3 linked regions of the Arabidopsis thaliana genome follow. The protein of the gene in region 3 interacts with the protein of the main gene of each other region in a pairwise test. Each region holds a gene or a part of one and is shown on either strand. Other genes may lie near its edges.

Evidence for each region.
Region 1: the proteins of SHI (region 3) and AT2G21530 interact in a two-hybrid assay, tested with the Arabidopsis thaliana proteins (one large-scale study listed by BioGRID).
Region 2: the proteins of SHI (region 3) and AT1G16640 interact in a two-hybrid assay, tested with the Arabidopsis thaliana proteins (one large-scale study listed by BioGRID).

What each region holds. Positions count from the first base shown.
Region 1 is NC_003071.7:9,216,389-9,223,301, forward strand, and holds AT2G21530 (SMAD/FHA domain-containing protein), read left to right. Parts: upstream 1-2,863; 5' UTR 2,864-2,983; coding exon 2,984-3,260; intron 3,261-3,355; coding exon 3,356-3,420; intron 3,421-3,505; coding exon 3,506-3,566; intron 3,567-3,758; coding exon 3,759-3,905; intron 3,906-3,996; coding exon 3,997-4,076; 3' UTR 4,077-4,220; downstream 4,221-6,913. Other genes in the region: AT2G21520 (Sec14p-like phosphatidylinositol transfer family protein), read left to right, coding at 1-235, 310-576, 655-732, 810-911, 1,000-1,049, 1,150-1,249, 1,340-1,438, 1,527-1,640 and 2 more; SFH3 (SEC14-like 3), read right to left, coding at 4,443-4,457, 4,558-4,629, 4,804-5,153, 5,355-5,466, 5,555-5,572, 5,651-5,740, 5,825-5,924, 6,010-6,059 and 4 more.
Region 2 is NC_003070.9:5,682,635-5,689,426, forward strand, and holds AT1G16640 (AP2/B3-like transcriptional factor family protein), read left to right. Parts: upstream 1-3,890; 5' UTR 3,891-4,128; coding exon 4,129-4,194; intron 4,195-4,560; coding exon 4,561-4,899; 3' UTR 4,900-5,093; downstream 5,094-6,792. Other genes in the region: AT1G16630 (uncharacterized protein), read right to left, coding at 1-2,115; AT1G16650 (S-adenosyl-L-methionine-dependent methyltransferases superfamily protein), read left to right, coding at 5,360-5,482, 5,561-5,656, 5,761-5,844, 5,939-6,013, 6,363-6,467, 6,677-6,792.
Region 3 is NC_003076.8:26,501,392-26,510,573, forward strand, and holds SHI (Lateral root primordium (LRP) protein-like protein), read right to left. Parts: upstream 5,419-9,182; 5' UTR 4,753-5,418; coding exon 4,131-4,752; intron 3,697-4,130; coding exon 3,355-3,696; coding exon of another isoform or gene 3,323-3,354; exon of another isoform or gene 3,127-3,322; coding exon of another isoform or gene 3,110-3,126; exon of another isoform or gene 2,550-3,109; intron 1,948-2,549; exon of another isoform or gene 1,897-1,947; coding exon 1,865-1,896; 3' UTR 1,763-1,864; downstream 1-1,762. Other genes in the region: AT5G66330 (Leucine-rich repeat (LRR) family protein), read right to left, coding at 1-396; AT5G66340 (uncharacterized protein), read left to right, coding at 1,111-1,134, 1,374-1,507, 1,651-1,762; DIM1B (Ribosomal RNA adenine dimethylase family protein), read left to right, coding at 8,938-9,182. UniProt on the Arabidopsis thaliana protein: Transcription activator that binds DNA on 5'-ACTCTAC-3' and promotes auxin homeostasis-regulating gene expression (e.g. YUC genes), as well as genes affecting stamen development, cell expansion and timing of flowering.

The sequences.
Region 1 (6,913 bases), on a different chromosome or scaffold from region 3:
TGGTCGAGTGAGTTCTGTATCCATTGAGGATGTGAGGGATGTCGAGGAGCTACAAGCTGTTGATGCGTTTCGACAGTCGTTGTTAATGGACGAGTTGCTTCCTGATAGACACGATGATTATCATATGATGTTGAGGTTCTTGAAAGCGAGGAAATTTGATGTTGAGAAAGCTAAACAAATGTGGGCTGATATGATTCAATGGAGGAAAGAGTTTGGTACTGACACTATTATTCAGGTATGCTATTAAATAGAAGATAGTAGTTTAAACCATTGTTGTCTGTTTTTGTAACGTTTTATTTCTCTCGTTAGGATTTTGATTTCGAAGAGATTAATGAAGTTTTGAAACATTACCCACAATGTTATCACGGTGTTGACAAAGAAGGTAGACCTATTTACATTGAAAGGCTAGGGAAAGTTGATCCTAACAGACTCATGCAAGTTACAAGCATGGATCGATATGTAAGATATCATGTAAAGGAGTTTGAGAGGAGCTTTATGATCAAGTTTCCTTCCTGCACTATTTCTGCAAAGAGGCATATTGATTCAAGTACAACTATTCTTGATGTTCAAGGAGTGGTAAGTATTTTCTACAGTTCATGATATTAGTTGTGAAATGAGTTTTTTTCTCATGTGTTTATATAACTTCATATTCAGGGATTGAAAAACTTTAACAAGTCTGCTCGAGATCTTATCACACGATTACAAAAGATTGATGGAGACAATTATCCTGAGGTATTAGTTAATTGGAGCTTCTAATACTTGATCTCAGGTATCAAATGCTAATCTTGGCTTTGTGGTATTTCATGCAGACTCTCCACCAAATGTTTATTATCAATGCAGGGCCTGGATTTAGGCTACTCTGGAACACTGTCAAGAGCTTTCTTGACCCTAAGACATCTGCTAAAATTCATGTATGAGAGATCTAAGTTATATCTCTATTTAAAAGTCTTGTCTTTGATTATATAGAATTCAATATGGACTATTCTATTGTTTATGTAGGTACTCGGATACAAGTATCTAAGCAAATTGCTTGAAGTCATTGATGTCAAGTATGTGAACCTTGACCCACCCTTATTTGATCTGTTCTATCGAAAGCTGCACGTTTTTTTGTTTTTGCTTATGTTCAAAATGGTCTGCACTTTTTTATAGCGAGTTGCCTGAGTTCTTGGGAGGTGCATGTACTTGCGCAGATCAAGGCGGTTGCATGCTTTCTGACAAGGGACCTTGGAAAAACCCGGAAATTGTGAAGGTCATTTACTTAGACTAATCTCTTTTTGGATTCTATTTGTATCATCCAAGTTGGAATCTGAGACATTTGGTTTTCTTCTCATTATTTCAGATGGTGCTTCATGGAGGAGCACATCGAGCGAGGCAGGTGGTGAAAGTGTTGAACAGCGAAGGGAAAGTCATTGCTTATGCAAAACCTTCATATACATGGGTACGTAGTTATTAAATCCTATAACTAGTCAATCTTTAACTTGTGGCTGACCATATTGTGCCTAAACTCTGCTCTGTCATAAACATAGATAAAGGGAAGTGACACATCCACTGCAGAGTCAGGATCTGACGCTGAAGATATCGGTTCTCCGAAGGCTATAAAGAGTTTCTCTCATCTCCGCTTGACACCTGTTCGTGAGGAGGTAACTTTTTTCTCTTTCTTTCTATCTTCTAGTTGGGGAAGTAGTAGATGTTTATCCTGAGGCTTTGCAGGCAAAGATAGCTGGTGAAACAAGCTTGGCTGGTAGTTTTCCGGGTTATGACGAGTATGTACCTATGGTGGACAAAGCCGTTGACGCCACCTGGAAGGTGAAACCCGCCATCCAGAGAGTTGCCTCAAGAGGTTAGTTAGTTAGCTGCTATATGCTTTACGTACCAGTAGGCTCCGGTTTAGAACCAAATACTGAAGGAAAAGAATTTAACCTAATCCTTGTTTACATAGGATTTATTTTCTTATTAGGATTGTTTTGGAGTTGGTTATAAAAACAGAGTTTTTTTGGTCTTTCTTTGTTTGGTGATCTTAACTCTTATCTGTTTCCTTCAGGAGCTTTAATGTCTCCCACCGTTCCAAAAGATCATGAAGGCATCAAGGCTCGAGTCCTAGTAATGTTCATGGCATTCTTGATGGCGGTTTTCACATTCTTCCGCACTGTAACAAAGAAACTTCCAGCGACTACTACTTCTTCCCCAGCAGAAACCCAAGGAAACGCAATAGAACTTGGTTCTAACGGTGAAGGAGTTAAAGAGGAGTGTCGTCCTCCTTCTCCTGTACCAGACCTCACGGAAACTGATCTACTAAACTGTGTGACGAAGAAACTGACAGAGCTGGAAGGTAAAATCGGAACGCTCCAATCAAAGCCAAATGAGATGCCATACGAGAAAGAAGAACTGTTAAACGCAGCCGTCTGCAGAGTAGACGCACTTGAAGCAGAGCTCATAGCTACTAAAAAGGCCCTTTACGAAGCTTTGATGAGACAGGAAGAGTTACTTGCTTACATTGATCGTCAAGAAGAAGCTCAGTTCCAGAAGATGAAGAAGAAGAAGAAGAAACATCTCTTTTGCTTCTGAAGCAAAGCCAAGAAAAACCAGCACCAGGCATCAAAATCTCCCTCTTTCGTAATTCGCTGTTCTTAAGTATAAACAACAAAACAAAACAAAAACTCTTATATCTGATTTGATGTTAAAGCTAATACAGAGAGCTCTGTTTCCTTCTGTGATTATGAGCCACTTTATATTATATGTTTTATTTTTATAATCATAAAAAAATCTGTAACTGTAAACTTGTTAATGCAAAACGAAAAAAGAGTATCGAAATTATTAATCAGGATTCTGTTTTTTTTTAGGATTTTGTTTTTATCCAGATACAAGATATTGTAGCCACATATCCCATATAGTGATTATCTCTTAACGTATCTCAAAAGTTTTTGCATTTTTCTTTACTTCATATTTTGTTTTTGTAAGATCAATCAGTTTTTATGAAGAGAAAATGGAGATAACAATATCCCAATTGTGCTCTCGAGTTAAGTTTTCATCATCATCATCATCATCATCACTTTTCTGTTTCTATGGAAACAGTAATAGAAACAACCTAAATGGAGCTGTTTCAGTAAACTGCTTGAGAGAGAATGAGCAGATCAGTAATATTAGCTTCATTGCGAAGAAACCAAGAAGTCATGCACCGGTGGTGAGAACAACACGCGCCTCCTTGGATGAGAATCAATCCCCAACTTCCGGAGGAGAACGGTGGCTTCTCAAACCAGTTGGTCAGAGGCTATTTTTTTGTTTCTCTAGGTTTAATATCAATGAGCTTCTTTAATCTTTTTGAGTCTTGAAAGTCTTTTTGCCTGAAAACTTATAGGCGATGGAGACACAAGACACATTGGTTACAAAGTGGCAATGCCTGCTCCTTTTGAGATCTCCTCTGTAAGAAACTATACATTCCACTAGATTGATTGATTTTGATGAGTTTTTAGTTTTTGCTAAGATCACAAAAATGGGTATTGAGCAGGGCCAAGTTACCATCGGACGGCTACCGGAAAAGGCTGACGTCGTGATTCCTGTTGCCACCGGTATTTCTCTGTTCTTGTGGTTTTCGGTTTTCTTGAATTTGTAATCAAAGTGAATTTGGTTTTAATATGAATCAATTTGATATAGTTTTGGTTTCGGGTTTAGGTTCGGATTCGGTACTAGATTTTCGATTGTAGATGGTTTATTGCTTTAGTTTGGATCAGAATCCAACACTCCTAGTCTTTTAACCTCAGTGTCAGGAGTCCATGCGACAATCAATACGAATGAAAAGAACCTTCTTGTGACGGATATGAACAGCACCAACGGTACATTCATCGAAGACAAACGTCTAATTCCTGGTGTTGCTGCTCCTGCCTTTCCCGGAACACGAATCACCTTTGGTACACCAATCTTTTCGCATGATTTTCCATCTCTCTCTCTGTGAATGTGATGGACCGATCAATGAGGTTAAACTCTTTGTGTGACTTGCAGGAGATACAAATCTAGCAATTTTCCGTGTTTTCAAGCTCCAAGATAGTGAAGAATCCATAGAGAAACCAACTACAGAGTAACACAAAACCCGAGAATTGCTTATCTTTGCTTGCAATTAACCGGTTTTTGTTGAAATTCTAAGTTGTTTTACAACATTGTTGATTTATATATATATGAACAATAGCTTTTTATATAATATTATAACATATATATTTTTGTTTTTGGTACGTTACAAATTAGGTGTGAAAGAATTGATAAGTGGTAAACATAAGCTTTCAGATATTTCCAGAGGGACAAACAACAAAACATTTACAGAAAGAAAATTTCCCACATTTTTATCTGTAAAAACTCTTCACGAATAATATTTATGTTTATATATATAATAAATATGGATTTATATATATTTTTCCAGGTTTCTTCAAAGTCTTGAGGCATTATCAAGTCTTTCAGAATCCAAAGAACTGAAAACAAAAACAAAAAAAACATATAAATACGTAAACAAAATCAAGTACGAATAAATCTTGAAAAAGAGTGTTTTAAAATGTGTTAGTTTGTTGTTACCTTCTTCTTCTTTTTCTTCTTGTCGATATAAGCCATTATCACATGCTGCGTTGCCATGGTTTCCTCCAGCGTCTGAATTTTCAACAAAATAAAATTGATTTATAACAGGATTATGAAAATGGTCTAAATTTTAGATCAAAAGAATTAAAATAGCTTTTAACTTTTATAAATGAACAAAATAGTCTAAATTCAAACTTCTAAACTCTAAAATAAGAAACTAGTTATGGAGGCTGTTTAACTTTGTACCTTTTTGGTCTGAGCCAACTGAAGCTCTAGCTCGTCGACACGGCTGAGAGCAGCGGTGAGAATCTGTTCTTTCTCTGGCGAGAACGCTGCAGGCTGATTGTCCAAAGACCTACATTTCTCCTCCAACTCGGCCATTCTCTTCACCATCGACATATACTCTTGGTTTGACACCATTGTAGTCTCTGCTTTGTCCACTTCACCACCGTAAATGGCAGCCTCAGTGAGCTTCCTTGGCATGTTCTTCGTTAGCCTCACCACAGTCATTAACCCCATCACCAAAGACATCACTCCCCCGAATAAATAACCTTCTCCTCCTCTCCTCTGCGATGGCTTCACGGCAGAGTATAAATCTGCGACGGCAAGAACACATTTAGGTAATAAGTGGTATTCTTGTTGAAGAGTGTAGCGGTATAGTATAATAGCAGAATCTCTTTTCAAAGACATGAAACTATGATGAATGTTTGGAATGGTAATAAAAAAAAGAATCATGTTTTCAAAACGTGAAAACACGAATAAATTTAGTGTAGTGTCAATGTTTCAATGTAGTGTACCTTCAGGTTCAGGATAGTTTGACTTGTGGAGATTTGTAGGCCATGTAGAAGCATTCACAGTTTTGTCAATCATCGGTATGAATTTTGTGTTCTCTGCATCGAATTTGTTCTTCTGCCAATAGGATTTTCAAAATCAGTCATACAGAGAAAGAGAGAGCTAAAGAAGTAACCTTTATTATTGACAAAAGAGAGAAACTCACCGCAAAGGAATCAGATTTCTTCAAGCAAAAATATGAGAATGTTAGATATTACTGTAAATTTTAAAGATCAAAGATATTTTTGTATTTTGCTTTTACCATTGTTGTGTTCTCGTCCACTGAGATTGTCTTCTCTTCAATGTTTGACAAAGTCTTCCTTGGGCACTTTCCTTCTCCGTTCTGAACCATCTGTATATAGTTCAAGATTCAGCTTCTCAGTTCATCGTTTCGTTAAACGGTTTTCGAAGATTCTCTACTTATCCTACAAATTACCTTGAAGATGTCAGGGTCGTTCCATGGACCTTTGTCAGAACGCATACATCCACCTTTGTCTGCACAAGTGCAGTTACCACCCAAGAACTCAGGAAGTTCACTAAACACAAATAAAGAACAGATAGTTTTCAGATTACGAATTTGCAGCTAAAATGCAGAGTTATGGAGCTCTGTTACTCTCTTACTTGGAGTCGATAATCTCAAGCAGCTTGCTTTGGTATTTGTTGCCAAGAACCTGTACATGAGGGACATGAGATTTCGGACAACCGTAGACCTTAAAGTTTGGATCTTTGAAGTGACACAAAACAGAAAAAAAGCTTACGTGAATCTTTGCGGTGGTCTTTGGGTCAAGGAAAGATTTCACAGTGCTCCACAGAAGCCTGAATCCACTACCAGCGTTGATAATGAACATACGGTTCAATGTCTATATGATCCATAAACACAAAAACAATTCTTAGTGCCATTTTAACTTGATAGAGATAATTACAAACTATTTCAAAACCATTAAGAAAACAACATAGTAACCTCAGGGTAGTTATCGCTATCGATCTTCTGGATACGCTGAAGAAGATCCCTTGCAGCCTTACTGAAGCTCTTCAACCCCTAGAAATCCAAAACAATACCAGAAGAATCACTCACTCATTCTCTCTTTCTCTTTGATCTGTATAACCAAAACAAATGTGGCTAGAGATTAGAGTGCATACCACGCCTTGCACATCCAAGATGGTGGTGCTCTGATCAATATGCTTCTTGGCAGCAATGGAACAAGCTGGTAATTTGATATTGAAAGTCTTCTCAAACTCTCTCACATGGTACTTGACATACCTATCGATGGTAGTGACTTGCATCAGCTTTGTGGCATCAACTTGGCCTAGCCTCTCAATGTAAACAGGCCTTCCATCTTTGTCAACACCATGGTAACCTTGAGGGTAGTACTTGAGGACTTCATCAATCTCCTTGAAATCAAAGTCCTTTTGAAAGAAGAAGTAAAAAGGATCAGACTTTAATTAAAGGAGAAGAAAAAGAAGATGATCTTAAAATGTTTAGGACCTCCATGATTGTGTCAACACCAAACTCTTTCCTCCAATG
Region 2 (6,792 bases), on a different chromosome or scaffold from region 3:
TGGTTCGCCATCTTCATGTTGCAGCATCACAGGTTTTGTCTTCTTCTTGGCTAATAGGAAACCAGCTGCTACTGCTGCAAGTATAACCATCATAGTCGAAAACAAGACTAACACTTTCTTCTGGCCACTCAACAAAATGTCCTCCGAACCTGCATCATTAACAACTTCACCAAACCCACTCTCTTCTTCTTCTACTTCATTACCGTCATGTTCAACATCTGTAGCTTCTTCTGAAACACTGAGGCTACCTCCAGCAATTTCCCCAACACCTTCTTCTTCTTGTACAGTTTCAACATTGGCTACTCCGGTTTGTTCTTGCTGGTTACTACTGATTGCAGCAGACTGCACATCGTCAAGCAGTTGTGCGTCGGATTCAGCTTCTTCCATGTTATTCTGGTCATTTTCTTCATATTCTTCCTGCCCTTCAACAACATCAGTTTCTTGGCCACCATGTCCTTCTTCAGAAAGAGATTCTGAATACCTTTCACCTCCGTTCACCTCTGTATCTGTAGCTATCTTGATCTCAGCCTGCTCATCACATTCATCAACAATTTCTAAGTTTACCTTTCCTTCTTCATTCTCCTGCTCGACTTCATTATCATCTTCTTCGTAGACAGCTTCAAGACTGATTTCACCACTGTTTTCCGATTCTTCTTCAGGTTCCTGATGACCAACATTCACTTCTTCTATATCCACTTCTAAGCTATCCACTATGAACCCATCAACAATGATTTCAACACTAGTTGACTGGAAAACAGCATCAGACAACCTTTTGTCTTCCAAAAGAACTGTCAAGTTATGAAATTGAAAAGGAACACTTCCCTCCTCTTCTCGTAGACTTGAGACCAGCTTATCAAGATACACAAATGATGATTCTGCCCACATCCTCAGCTTTGCACCCAACTGCTCAAAGTTCTCGCTAGCAGACATTATGATCTCTGGAGAGATGTTAAACTGATAGAAAGGTGAATCTGTGATGGTTTGTTGAGAAAACGTCGTTGAAGAAACCAACAACAGATACGCCACACCAAGAGCCAAAATCCAACCAAGCAACATGGATGTCTTGCTGAAACGAGACTGTTTTGAAATCTGATGAGTTTCTTCTTCTTCAATGCTTTCGCCAACTACTACTTCTTCTTCTTCATCATCACTCTCTACAGCTTCCAAACGCTCTTCACCATCAACATCCAGAATTTCCTCTGCGGCTTCCAAACGCTCTTCACCATCATCTTCTTGTTCTTCTACTGCAACTACACCTTCCTGAGAAGCAACTTCCTCCTCTTGTTGACCTTCCTCCTCTCGTTCTGCAGACAAATCAGTGTCAGAAGAAGAGCTTTCAGAGATGAAAAGCTCCTCAAGCTGCTTGCACTCATCAGAACGATGCTCAATTTTTGGATTTGGCTTATAATGGAGAAACTGAGGCCTCGGTGACAAGTAATTCTTCTTTGGATCATAAGGTGCCACCACTGGATCCACTTCATGAGACTCAAACACAGGAAATGTGCATGGAACATAAGGAGGAAGAGGACTGATCTTGAAGCTTGAATTATCATTACTCTTCCTCTCAAGAATCTCATCGAAATCACTGACAGTAATATCATGTGATTCCTCTTCACGAAGCTGCTTAGTTTCATCGATGCAAATCTGGTCTACATCTTTATCTTCCCCAATGATGCTTATCACATCAGAAAACGAGACAGACGACTTTACCTGAACCTGGTGATGGGATTTGTCAAAGGATCGAGACACTTCGTTTTTATCAGACAAGATCTTCTTCCTCGGCGATGGATTGATCTTGGAAACGGCTGAAATTGTCGGTGACATGAAATGCTTGGAACCTTTTGTTGGACCTTTGACGACATTAGCGATTTGATCCTTGTCGTTCTGATTCTCTTTATCACCAATCTCAACACGATTACTGCATTCTCTACCGATTGAGTTTCTCCGGGACGGATCTGCCGAAAATGGATTGCCTCGGAAACTGCGACGCATCAGATCTCCGGTTTCCGAGTTTCTTTGCTTAGGGTTTGGTCTGGAAGGCATTGAAGGCGAAGAGGAAGAGAATAGAGAAGAAGGAGAAACAGAGATCTTGTTCTTTGCTGGAGAAGACGCCATGAATGAAAATCACTCCGGAAATCAGAATGGGTTATTTAACAAATCTCAGATTTTTTGCGCTCGTTAAAGGAAAGAAAATATGCAAGAATCTGCAAGATTGTGAATGTAAAAAGTTCCTAAGTTTTTGAATTTTTAAAAGAGAGAGAGATAGAGAGATCGTAACGGCTAGTTGCCAATTTGCGATTTATTTATACATAGTGGATAGAAAAATCCCTAATAATTTTAAGTATTGCAAATTGATTCTGATTTTGACCATTTTTCACTGATACCCTAGTTTTCCAAATTTCTGTTATCTCCCCATAAATTTAAGATCTATCTAAATGCCCCATGCTTATTAAAGACTTCACAACGTAAGATTTGATTCCTCTTTCTTCCTGTAAAGTTGTTAAATTTATAAACGTGGATATTTATGGACAATGTAGAAACAGTGGGAAGAAATTAATGATTCTCAAAACCTTGGGGTTCAAATTAAAACAAAATTTCAATTTCTGTAGCCGGAAAATAGAGCAGACGATGTAACTGGGCCGCCACGATGATGACACGTCTGATCGCAGAGAATAAACTAGCCGTTATGGGCTCTCGTAAAGGGTAAGAGACGTTAATCAACCTATTAAAAAGACAGGTAAATCAGAAAAGCAGGCTTTGGGCCCGTCCACTGATGGAAAAAGTGAAAGCACCAATTATGTTGAAGGTTTTTACTTAACGGGCTTTTGACTGACATTAAAGAAAATTTGGTCATCGGCTAACTAAATAGGCCCAGTTTACATTATTTTCTGAGTTCCAATGAAATAAAATCCTTTTCTAAAAGTCATCCTCAAATACCACATCTGTGTGAACCTCATCGACACAAATCAGAATATCTTTCATAATTTTATGGATTTATAACTTATTTTGCGATTATCTGCGAAAGTGATTAATTAAGATGAGTGTTCATGTTGCAGAACTAATCGTTTTCGGAATAACTACCATCAAAATAGTTCTAGACAATTGTTACAATTACGTTTCTAGATTAATTTAGTCCATGAGAATTGAATTCTGAGGGGATTACTTTTCCTTCTTTCAGGCCAAATTTTTGCTATTGAATATCAACCTGTTGATATGAGTTAAATCTGCATTATGACTTATGAACGCAAACGAAGAAAAAAATACCAAATCAATTTAACAACAGAAATAACAATCAGAACTTTGGTATGAAATACTTAGAACCAAATCAACCAATGATGAATTTTTCTCAATCGATTTAAGGCAAATTGAGACAAAACTAAAAGATCCGACAAAATCCGATTCTGAGAAAACAAAATCAACGATTTCATACTAAAAGAAAAGGATTTAAGGGAGAGCGAGATTCAGATGGTAGTGCATGATGGTAAGATCATCAATGATGGTCAGAGTTGGATTGTTCTATGGAATCATCTTTCATCATCATTATCACCGCTCTCTCCTCTTTATTAAGAGTAAAACATCGACTTTAAATCTAAGAAAACACAACACAATAGACAAAATAACTTCTAAATTTTTCCCTAGAAAATAGTAATGAAGCTTCGAGAAAACACTGAATTTCTAGAGCAGACGCTGTTTCGAAGAATTCTGAGTCGTACATCAAAAGATTTGAGGTCTTTAAATAGTGGAGAGAACTCTAGGGTTTTAAGTTGGATCTTCTAGGTCGATAGGATTTGTCTCAGCTCGTTATTGGGCTATTGGGCTGTATAATTTGGCCCAATAGTAATAAGAGTTTGGTTTTGTACTTTTTGTATGGTGTGGCCTTGTAGAATAGAAAAGCAGTGATTGGTCAAAAGGTGGCAAGTTGTTTGACTATGACATCAATTCCTCATTTCATCTTTTTGATTTACAGAGAAAATTGAAATAGTCCACTCGGGACCATTGAAGCTCTCTCTCTGTTTCTGCATTACAAAAAGTGTTTGTTTTCAAGGTTTCTCTCTTTCACTTCTCTTTGTTTTCTTCATTTCAATTTCTGGATTTTGCTTGTAGCTACATTTGGTCTCACTCTATTCCATGGCTGACACTGGTGAGGTTCAATTTATGAAGCCTTTCATCTCAGAAAAGTCATCTAAATCATTGGTGAGCATGGCTCTCTATCTTTCTTCTTTTTTATTTTCTTATTTCAACAAGTTCAAAATATGTGTTTAGTGTTCTGATTTGGAGACTTATGGTTTAGGGTAAATTGCTTTAGTTCATTTTCATGGAGCTAATAACTTAGGTCCTTTAATTGCTTTTGTTAGCTTTAAATTAGCAAAAAGCAAATGAAAGCTTACTGAATCTTGCTAGATTTAGAATGAAGTTTATGTGTTGGTGTTGTTATAGGCTGCTTGAACCAAACATTTCTGCGGGGCTGAAAAGTGAAAAATAGCAAGTCCATTGTTTCTACGTTGCTGCTCTTGGAATGTCTCCTGAGAGTTGTTTTTTTATATATAAATGTTTGATTAGGAAATCCCCTTGGGATTCAACGAATACTTCCCAGCACCATTTCCAATAACTGTGGACCTCCTGGACTATAGTGGGAGATCTTGGACGGTTAGGATGAAGAAAAGAGGAGAGAAAGTGTTTCTTACAGTTGGTTGGGAGAATTTTGTAAAAGATAACAATCTCGAAGATGGCAAGTATTTGCAGTTCATCTATGACCGCGACAGGACCTTTTATGTTATCATATATGGTCATAACATGTGTAGCGAATATAGAGACTTCCCTCAAGTCGCAGTAGAGGTTGATGACTATGAAAACGGTGAAGAAGAAGAAGACGGCGACGATCAAGACAAACATCAGTAACTAAAATTTGGGTCTACTTTAAGTTGCTTTAAGTTTAAGTAGTCAGTTTTCATGTTGGATTTATGTAACCAGTTGTTTAGTTTAAATATTACGAATACTAGTATTTGCTTTCTGCTACATTCTTTGGAACATGGTTTAAAAGATTTACTGTGTATTGCTATCATTTTTGTGATAATTGTATTTGGTGAAGTAGAGTGTTAATACAAGAGAATGAGAGGAAGTGTAGGAGGGGGCATGAGTCAAAACCTTCCGGTGCAGTTAGAGTCTCTTGAAGACTCGGCCACGTGACAATATGGGTGTATTGACAACAGAATAAATAAATGTGGGCTAAATTGAATAAATTAAAATTTACGAGGTATTTTTAGAAAACATTTTGACGGTTAAAAGCAAGTGTTTGCTGTTTGGTTGGCTTTTGGCGGCGGAAACTAGAATCGTTGCTGCTACTCAGGTCATCGGGATAATGAAGAGCAATAAGTTTTCTTGCAAAACGAGAGCCGAAACCCTAGAATGGATCACAGCCATTATCGATTTCCTTAAACCGTTTTCTTTCCTAATCAATGCTCACGTTGTCAATTTCTTCAAGGTATGATCGATTATCGGAAACAATTTTAAATTCAGCTTCGAGTTGGGTTATGAGTTGATTGATGGGTTTGTATTCCAGGATAAGCAATGGGAAGCTGTTAATGAGGAATGGATGAGTTGCTTAAAGGATGAGAAGCCGGAAAATATTCTTCTTATTCCCTCCGGTGGTGTCCAGGTAAAGTTCTGGTCTCAGTCTTCATGATTGAGATATTTGATAGAAAGGGTAGATTTTTATTTTAGTTTGGAAAGGAGATGATTGATTATAGTATTTGATTATAGGATCACTGGCCTGCTTCACTAAAGAAATTTGTTCACACGTTGAGGTCTCTATCGTTTCCTCGAGAGCAAGCGGATTTACAGGCGGTATTGTATTCTCTTTACCTGTTTGTGCTGTTTCAGGATTAGTATTTTTAGATCCTAGACTAAATAAAGTTTAATCATTTTCGACTGTTGGCAGATACTCGCAGACGTGGATATGGTACCTCTTAGCACCGTTCTTTCACAGGGCATGAATCTTAAGAAAAAACATGAGGTACATTTTTATCTTCACACTTCACTATCCAGAGGTGCAAGTCGTGTCTTTCAATGATGTCTTGTTTTGGTAGGAATTTCAGTAGATTGCATCTGGTGACTAATCCCAATCCAAGAACCTTAAATTCAAAAGAGAGTATATATTTTTTTTGTAGCTGTTCAAGTCTTTTTACCATCAAATTCTGGCAAAGTTATCTGCCACTTCACGCGTAAAACATGAAATTGAGGATCATTAACAGCTCATAGCATTTTATATAAAAGTTTCTTAGTACAAAACTTATGTTTGTTTAAACGTAAGGTATTTGTCAAATGTATCTTATACTGGCCACTTCATTTGAATGGATCTGTAGGTCACTTATTATGGTATCATGCAGGTTGAAGTTCTTTCCTCTGTTGTTAGCTCAGTTGTTAAGAGTGTTGGAGCTCCTACTGTTGTTGATGTCGGTGCTGGCCAGGTATCTTCAATCCCTTTCTCTTGTTTAACTATCAATCTTAATTGCATGGTTCCTTTTTCTCGTCTGCATTGGTGAATTCTCTTTTTGGCTGTTTAAGGAATATTTCGAGTGATGGTTTTTCTTTCATATCAGAGTTTTAGTAACTTTGTAGTATATTATAGCTTTCCTAAAGTGTGTTAAATAACATCATTGGTAAATGTTTTGTCCAGGGTTATCTAGCGCAGGTTCTCTCTTTCCAATATAAGCACTCAGTGGTTGCAATCGATTCTTCCTCTCATCATGGAAAGGTAACAGATGCACGCGCAGCACGCATAAAAAAGCATTT
Region 3 (9,182 bases):
GCGGGTGAGACGGGTGAGATTGGAGAGCGAGTCGGGAAGTGGACCGGAGAAGTAGTTGCCGGAGAGATCGAGGGTCTGGAGATAAGGAAGGTTGAAAGAGACGGAGGAGAGGGAGCCTGAGTAACCGGCTTGGTCCAGACTGAGCTCCGTGACCCGACCCGATCCGGTAACGACGGAGTCGCAGCGGAACCCACAAGTGAATGTGTCGCTGAATATATTGTCGCAGGGATCGACGGAGAAATCCCAAGAACTCAGGCAAGAGCCTGGACTCATGGATTTGGCATCCACTGAGTTCTTGAAGTCTTTGAGAGCTGCCACGTCACCCCAGAAAGTCTTGGACTCTGCTGAAGATAAAGTGAGCAAAAGAAGAAGAACAAGGGAAATAAGTGAAGCCATTACAAAAGAGAGATGGTTAGCTCTGCTGAGAGATGTTTGGAAGAAGAAGAAGCAGAGTGGGTTTGGAGTGAATAATGACCGTTGGATGAGAGGGTCAAGGCGTGTGATAGATCTACAGAAAGTTGCTCTGAAACTTGAAAGACAGAGGAATTTATATATAGAGAGATTGAGATATTAAAATAGATAGTGTAAATTTATATCATGTGTGTCATTGTCCATCAGACATATGCGTGAAGACAACAACATCTGTACAGTGAGGTGTGGTTGGCCCTATCCCCATCCACCATAACTCAGAGGTTATGAGTTTTAGATTCTGTTGAGATTCCAAAGCAGAACAACTCTTGATTTAGGATTATTTGACATATTACCAATTCACATGTCATAAATTGACTAATAAACTTTACAATTTATTTCATTTTCTCCCATATGTGACGTACCCATTTGACCAGAAGTTGTCAAAATCTAAACTAGTCTTGGTTGATGACATAGATAGAAGAAGTAATTATAGCCTTACAGGAAGCAAGGTTGATGGGTTAATGAATGTGCAGCTGTTGCAAGCAAAGGTTCCAAATCATTGGCTCTAACTAACTTTAAATCTATGGAAGACGACGAAAATGTTCATATATGATAGGATCACTCATTAGCGTTAGGTGTCTAAAACTCTAAACCTAAGCCATGTGGGACACTAAATCATCCTAACGGGTCACTAAGACTATGCAGAGATTGGTAAAACAAAAGGTACTAACATAATCTATTGGCACCATCTGAATTTGTTGTCGTCCTTGCTTTTCGTCGGTATGTTGTTCTTAACGAATAATTGTCTCACTGTTTCTTTGTTAATCTTGAACTCAAAGACCATCCCTATAATAGTTAGAAAGATGCACAATTACAAAGCAGAAACTAGTGCTTACATCGATCACGATACTCTCTTCTCTGACCTTCTATTTTCCTCTAAGCTGTGATTTATGCTTATCCAGATTACTATTGAAATCGTCGACGAAGTGCGTTTGTTGCCCAATGCCATCTTTCCAGTCTCCGGAAGAAGAGATAATGGAGAAAGACAAACAGGGGAGAGAAGAGTGGATCAGGAACAGAGTCGAATGTATCCAAAGTTAGTTATGTGATTTGCTCGTGAGTCTCATGGAGAGAGAAAAACAGAGGCCCATACCTCTAGGGCTTAGTAGTTTTGTTTTACCCAGCAACAGCATGGCTTAGTTTTGGGCTACTTCATTATTTGGTCACTGAGGACTACAGTGTCGTCTTCTCTTTATGCAGCGAGCCTGCGACACTCAAATTAAAAATTCGGTTTGGAAAGCTTGATGCTGTGGACCTGAGGCTTCTGTTTTGTCCCCTTGAAATGCAATGATGGAATTGCAAATTGTCCCTCAGACGTGTTACTCTCTTATTGGTTCACAGTGAAATTTCCTAAGGCCCCACTTGCGTTCGGAGTTTAAAGTTGCTGCTTTTATCACCATCCGACATCCGTCTTCAAGATCCTTTCTACGTGCAACAACATCAAACTCTTGAGTCTTGCTTGACCAAGAAAATAAAAAGCAACTTAGGTTTTCCAAAAGAGAAATTTCGAAGACATGGTGCGAGTAGTACGGAGGAAATAATCGGGGACAAATCAGCATAAGCAAGGTGGGATTAGCTGTTTAAGGTTTAATGGGACCAATTCAATTATAGAATGATATAAATGTAAATCACAAAATGCATGATTTGTGTGCATCTTTTTTACAAGTCTTCACAACTCCATGCAACACTTAATTAAATTTTAATCCTAATGAGTTATTATAATGTTAGCTCGTTTTCCGATTCTTTTTGCATCTCGTTATCATCATGGCTTTCTTGAGGTGACGTAAATTGAATAATGAAAAAGAGAGCCTAAGAAATGAATTGGGAAAGAAGAGTTTTTTTAGGTCCAAACATAAACACCTGCAGAAATAAAGATGCATACCAATTTTACACCTTTTTCTGTTCCCCCACTCACTCATAATCTGCCGAATTTACAGCCTCACTCGTTGTAACAAAAGAATCAAAATACACATACAGTCTCACTGCTTGTCAGATTTTGGGGATTGCATTTGAGATTTGTATAGTAAAGCCCCTTCAGATGTGGCTAAAAAATACACCGTAACGTACGATGTGAAAACTATGTAAGATAGAAATATGGAGAAACTGGCTATCAGGATATATATATATAAAAAATAATGTAAAGAGTCGGATGTGGCAGTAAGTCTCTCTTCAAATGTAAGTGTACTGACATTATATCAATCATAGGAATGAGAGCATCACTTTAAAAACGGCTCAAACTGAATAAAACTTAAGATTAGGGTATGGCATATTGCCGGATATATAGTAGTCGTAGACGAACGATATACCTGTGCTAGTGTGTCTGATTTGTTGACCAAAAGCACAAGACACCTAAATACATGTCTTCACCCAAATTTCAATTTTGTAACCTTGTTTTTCACATTAATATTTCTACAGGCAAATCATAATTGCAATTAATTGACCTAAAGTAGTAATTTGAAAGGTAAATTAATGTTAAAGTAAACCTAAAAAAAGAGTAATGTGAAAAGCTGACAATAAAACAAGGCTGAGTTTAACGATCACAGTTGAAAACTGCCAGCTGCAAATCTTGCTTTTGATGTGAGCTTTCACAGAGACAGGGTCGTTGACTTTTGTAACAGTTGAAAATTGGAGTATACTATTACATTAACATTATACCTACAAAATTTGAACTTAATAATAAAAGATCAGGTAACAATTGTTTTAATAGAACATTATCTCCCTTAGTTAATTACTTTTGAAAACCAAGATTAGTACGTTATAATCTTCACCTCCGAAGATGTTTTAAAACCCTAATTCTACCGTAAGAATCTAAAAAAAAGTTATGATTTGTTGTACTCTCTCTGTGTGGAATTCAAGATCTTGAGTTGGAGAAGAAGTGCGTACCAGTCATGAAAGTGTTAATGGGAGTAGGATAATTAAGTGAGGCAGGATCGATATAATGATCTGAAGTGGAGCCAACGACTCCATTGTTGCAGCTCACGTTTGGGCTTGATGATGAGGCCGATGGGCCTGCGGTTATGAGATTCAACGGCTGAGATCCACCGCCCGAGGAGCTTCTCTCGGCCGGGCCTTGATCGTAGAGAACACCTTTGAAGACGTGACCGCCTATACTCACAGCTGTTTTATATGCATACTCTTCTTCTTCATCATCTACGGAACTCACACGCACGCACCGAAAAACTGCCGACGAGCTAACTTCCGGCGGAAAATTCCCAACCTCCAACCCTAGATAGAAAACATTTAATTAATTATTGTTAATTATAAGAAAAAATCGTAGGAGTATTTTCAACGTATGATTTGTTTGTTTGTTTTTATCTTAACTCAAATTAATAATTACAGCATTAACAAACAAATAAACAAAAACTTAATAATTACAGGATATAAACACAAATATCAAGATCAGTGAGAACAGTTTCTTCCTGTCATTCCAAGAGTCAGTCTTACTGATCTACAGTATTTCCATATTAAAAAAAAAAAATAGGAAGAAGAAAATCGTTCACCTTTTTTTTTTCTTGAAAATGAAAAAAGAAGAACAAAAAAAGCTGATCAAAATAGGGTTTCTGTTTCTGCAATTGAAACTAATAACTCAAGTTATTCAAAGCTCATTACTTTAATTTTCATTCAGGGGTGAATAACCATAAAGAGATATTATGAAATACCTGAAGTGTTGTTAGAAGGTATACGAGTGTAGGCCATGGAAGTCGATCTCGCCGGGATACGCTCTCTCTGTCGTTTAGGGACGCTCCCTCCCAGTTGCTGCGGTTGCTGACCGGTAGAAAGCTGCTGCTGGCGTTCTCGGCGTTTAGCGGCAGGAACCCACGTGCTCTTCACGTGAGTGGGACAGTCAAGGCCACGGCTCTTGCAGCAAGTCCTACATCTCATGTGAGAGCAGTCTTTCTTAGATTGATTCCCACAATCCTGGCAGCTTGGTCCGCCGCTACCGCTACCGCTTCTCATCATCATCAACGCACCGCCGGAAGTTTCAATTAAGCTCCGGTTGCTCGGTCCAACACCTAAACCCGCAGCGGAAGTGTAAAGATCCAGCCTTTGTTGCTGTTGCTGCTGCTGCTGGAAAATGATTTCTTGATTGTTTGGGTGTTGCCATAGCTCAAGGGTTCCTTTGTAAGAAGGACCAGCTTCTCCACCGTCAGCGTTAGAGTTAGGGTTTCTGCACCAAAGCCAAGATTCTGTTCCCGATGAAGAAGGATTATTAGTGTTTGTTCTGTGGTTGTCTGGAGTGTTTCCTCCTCCGCCGTGTCCTAACGAGAAAAATCCTGCCATTTTCCGATACCACCAGCCATATATGACCAATTTCAAGAAGGGCTTTGCTTTACCACATATTTACTTGCCTAGACTAAGATCTTGACTTTCAGAGAGTGAAGATCTATCAAAAGATTTTAACAGAAGAAGACAATAAAAGATCTCTCTCTTGATAGAGATCTTTAATTATGAGAGGATGAAGAAGAAGAAGACGAAAGAGATTAACTTAATGGAAGAATGTAGAGTAGTCTATATCTAGGGTTTGTTTAGAAATCGAATAGAGGTTTCTTTTAGTACTGAGAAAAAAGTTGGTTTGTCGGTATGGAGTGTATTTAAGAGGGGATAGAGAGAGAGAGAGAGATGTATCTCAGAGAGGTTTCTTTCTCTGTCTCGCGCTCTGCAACGCCGCCATCACCTTAATACTCTTCCTCTCTTATTAAATTCTCTGTCTCTCTTTTCTTTTTTGTTTGTTTTCCAGATTTTCCTTACACCAATTAATATCACAAAACACTTCTCGGACAAGATATATCTTACCGTTGATCATCACGTGTTTTAGATCCTGCGGTCAATATGTTGCCACGTTTACAACTTCGGCTTTTACTCTCTCCGTCTTTTCTCTACCGGAAAACACGCTGCCTCTTCCTTTGTTTGTCTGTTTGTGTTTGCCAAAATGCTACTATAATTAAATCCTACACTATTTGTTTATATGATTTACGTTTAGATATTAATCTGTGTATTATTTGTTCGAACGATATTTTAGTGAAATGAACGGAAGATTTCTTTATTTATGAGAAATCTATAGTTATGTAATATCTAAACTAAAACTTTATAATCATATATCGTCCTACACAACGTTGGGGACTGGGTATACTTGTATTTTTAGATTCTTTAGTTAGATTCGATGCAATTTTAATTATTATTAGCGAAATCTTGCTTTGGTTGCGTAGTGTATACCTGTGACTTTAAAATTAAGTGCCTAAAGTTCGCAGCTGGAAAACAGTTGCTTATCCATGTTTCCAAGGAAGCAAATTACTACTCTGTTATTTTTATCATTATATATACAAACTTTAATAATGAACACCTGATAGTATTAAAATATTTAATTATGTATACAATACATACACTGATGTATATCAATTGTCCCGTATACCTATACCCCATGAATCTTAATTTAATTGACCAATTAATCATTCCAAATTTTAACGAATTTCAGTTGTTTCAGAATATCAAACTACAGACAAAGTAAAAAACTGAAGATAGTTCATGGATTTTTCCAAAAGGATATGGAGAGTTGACTAATAAGAAGAGGGGCACTATAGTCATTTCCTAGTGGAAATACCCACTGTTGTGTAAAAGAGAGAATACATTTAATGAAAGTGAGGTTGTAAAAAATACATGTATTTATGAAATGGATGAAAGTTATTGTTGACATAAACAATCAGCAAAATCATCTATCCAACCTCTTCACCGTATTGTAAACAATGTTAATGTGTATCTATGAAATAGAGTATAAAAGACAACTTTAAATTTGATCTAGAAGCTGTAAATTTCAGAAATCAATTTGGATGTTTTAATGGTTTTCTTGTTATGACAATCTTAATGTATGTGAGGGTTTGTACTTTGTTGAATGCAAAAATTATGAGTGACTGAAATAGAGGAGAAGAAAATTGGGGATAGAGTTCGATGAATATATGCAATCATTTAGGACCGAGAAATTAAGAGAGGGAGTGGGCAAAAGGGACAGTGACATTCTCTCGGATTTTATTCTTGTATATAACTAAATTACAAATCCATAAATTCCAAATGTATTGGTAACATCGATTATCTTTGCAAATAGCAACAAACTCGCATAATGAAAGACTCACCATGAGCCAAAACTATTAAATTTCTTTTATTTTGGAGTTTGAATCTTGAAATTAGTACAAATAGAATAGTCTTTTTTTTCCAAAAGAAAAGGTTTAAAGTATCTTCTCGAGCACTGTGTTCTTCTTTTCTTTAAGTTTTCAGTGTCATAATTTATACAAATTTAGGTAAAGTTACTAACATTTTCTTAACTATTTAACCTTCCATTTCATGTCCTAGCAATTTTTCTAAAAACGTTGAAATTGTTTCCACTACCTTTTCTGCCAAATATCTGCACTTCAAACGCATCTAGTCATCTACCATTCTACTTGACCCCGGTACCATCTTTTGGAGATTTAGAATGTATGTTATGCCCATTATCAATAAGAAAACATGGAAATGTGGAAAGAACTTTATAAACTAGAGAATAAAGAAAAGTAAGTTTGGAGCATAGTGTTTGTTGGCTTCTAAATATCACTTGTACACAATTACACATTATTACCAATAAAGAGAAAATCACTTCTTAATATATATTTTTCTTACATAGGCAGAAAGAGAAGAGTGTTTACTACAAAAGAAGCACGCACTGATTTGTTTTTTTCACTTTCACCCATTCATTGCTCTTCTACACTCTTTTAAATCTCTCCTTTTCTCTTCAACTTTGAAACTGAAAAAGGACATAAAAGATTTGGTGGGTTATGTTTCTTTTCTTTGGAGCCAATAACGGAGCTTAGAGATTCTTGCAACTTTTTTCCCCCTTGCATCCTCCTTTACTCAATAGTAATTTATGTGTATTCTGTATCTCTTCACAAAATAATAAACAAAGACTGTCTTTCACCACAAAATCTCTTGAGAAGCTGCAAAGTTGGGTAAAACTTAAATGAAATGTACACTTTTTTATATACTACATATCCGTTTTCAGAAATAGATTTCATAAACTATGTGTTCCATATGGATCCCATTTCACCTTCAAAGGCCCCCTTTACATTTATGTATATTAATGATTATATGTTTCTCATTGCTCAAGAGAAGATTGCATCATTGAATAAAGGAAGAAAGAAAAAACATAGAGAGTGATTTGGTTCATGTGGGTCCCAAGGAAGTGGAGTCATGGTTCCTCCAAATGCCATGCTCATGCTCATGCTCATGCACATGCAGAGACGCGTATAGTCTTTCTAAGCTGATATATCAACTGAGTTATTAGATGCGACAAAATCTACTTATATAATCCACTCGACTTACTTTAACCCAAAATTTCACTAAAACAAACGTGAATCACATAACAAACTCGCAAAACTCAACCAAAACAGTTTTGCTGTTGTATGTTGAAAAATGGCAAGATATAACTAAGTTGATAGATCGGGTGCTCATGGGTTATTGAAAATCCCCCACACTAGAAACGAAGGGTGGTATCAAAGTTATAGTATAGAGGCTGCTGTAAAAAAAGTGGACCACTATTTTTCACGCCTAATTTTCTTAATTACTCTATTATTGTTAATTCCGAAGTTACAAACCCTAAATTATAAGGCTAGCCTTTATATTTATAGCATGTTCTTCTGAAGCTGATACAGTTTTCAACACATGTATCCATCATAGGAGAAATAAAAACACCAAAAGAAACTGAATCGAATTGTGACGCTTTTTCATGTGATAATACACATTATTTTGTTTTTTGTGTGTGTTTATTTTGCTTAATTTTAACATTTTCATATGAGTACCATAGGGAATTAATCAAGAAAAGAGTGGTGTGTGACTGAGGTGATATAATGTAAAGTAGAGAGTGTTGACAGATGTCATGATAATGAAAAAATCAACTGAAAGATATATATGTTTACACAATAAATCAAAATTTGGATGGAAGGGACAAAAGGAAGCATATATACCGTCCGATCATGTAGAAAAGAGATAGCAATTACACCGACGAGAATAGTAACTTGGCAACGTCATGCTTTCTTTTCAAGATTATATGAATTTTCAAACTTTATGTTCTTCCAAATAATTAGACGACTTCATGGCTCTCACGTTACCATTTGAGTACGTAGTCCACTAGCGTGGTCCAAAATTCTATATCCATCATTTTTTGTTCTTTTTCTTTTATTTTACAATCAATCAATCTATGGATGTACATATAAGTAAAAGTCTACGCCAATTGGATGATTAAGAATTAAGATAAGCGTCGTGAAGAAATAAAAAATAATTGGGCCTTGGGCTAAAGGAATATTTGAGAAGCATATAAACAATTGGCCCACAAGGCCACAAGGATCTCCTTCAAACGCTCGGAAGTTTCCGCTTTGGATTCCTGTCACCGGCGATTTCGTGGGATGATAACGACGCCGAGCTATATTTCGTGACTGAAGCAAAGTGATGATTCTTCGATTGAAAGACCAAACGCTCATCAAAATCAATTCAACTCGTTCGTACTTATCTTCCTTAGTTTTCCGACGAGATTCTCACTCGCAGGCTCGGACAAAACCCGATCACGACCGCCGGAGAAGAGGATACGAGAGGGATGTGAGAATCGAGGAGAAGAAGGAACACGATGGATTGTTTCTGTGCAAGAGCAAAGGCCAACACCTTCTTACCAACACTAGAATCCTCGACTCCATTGT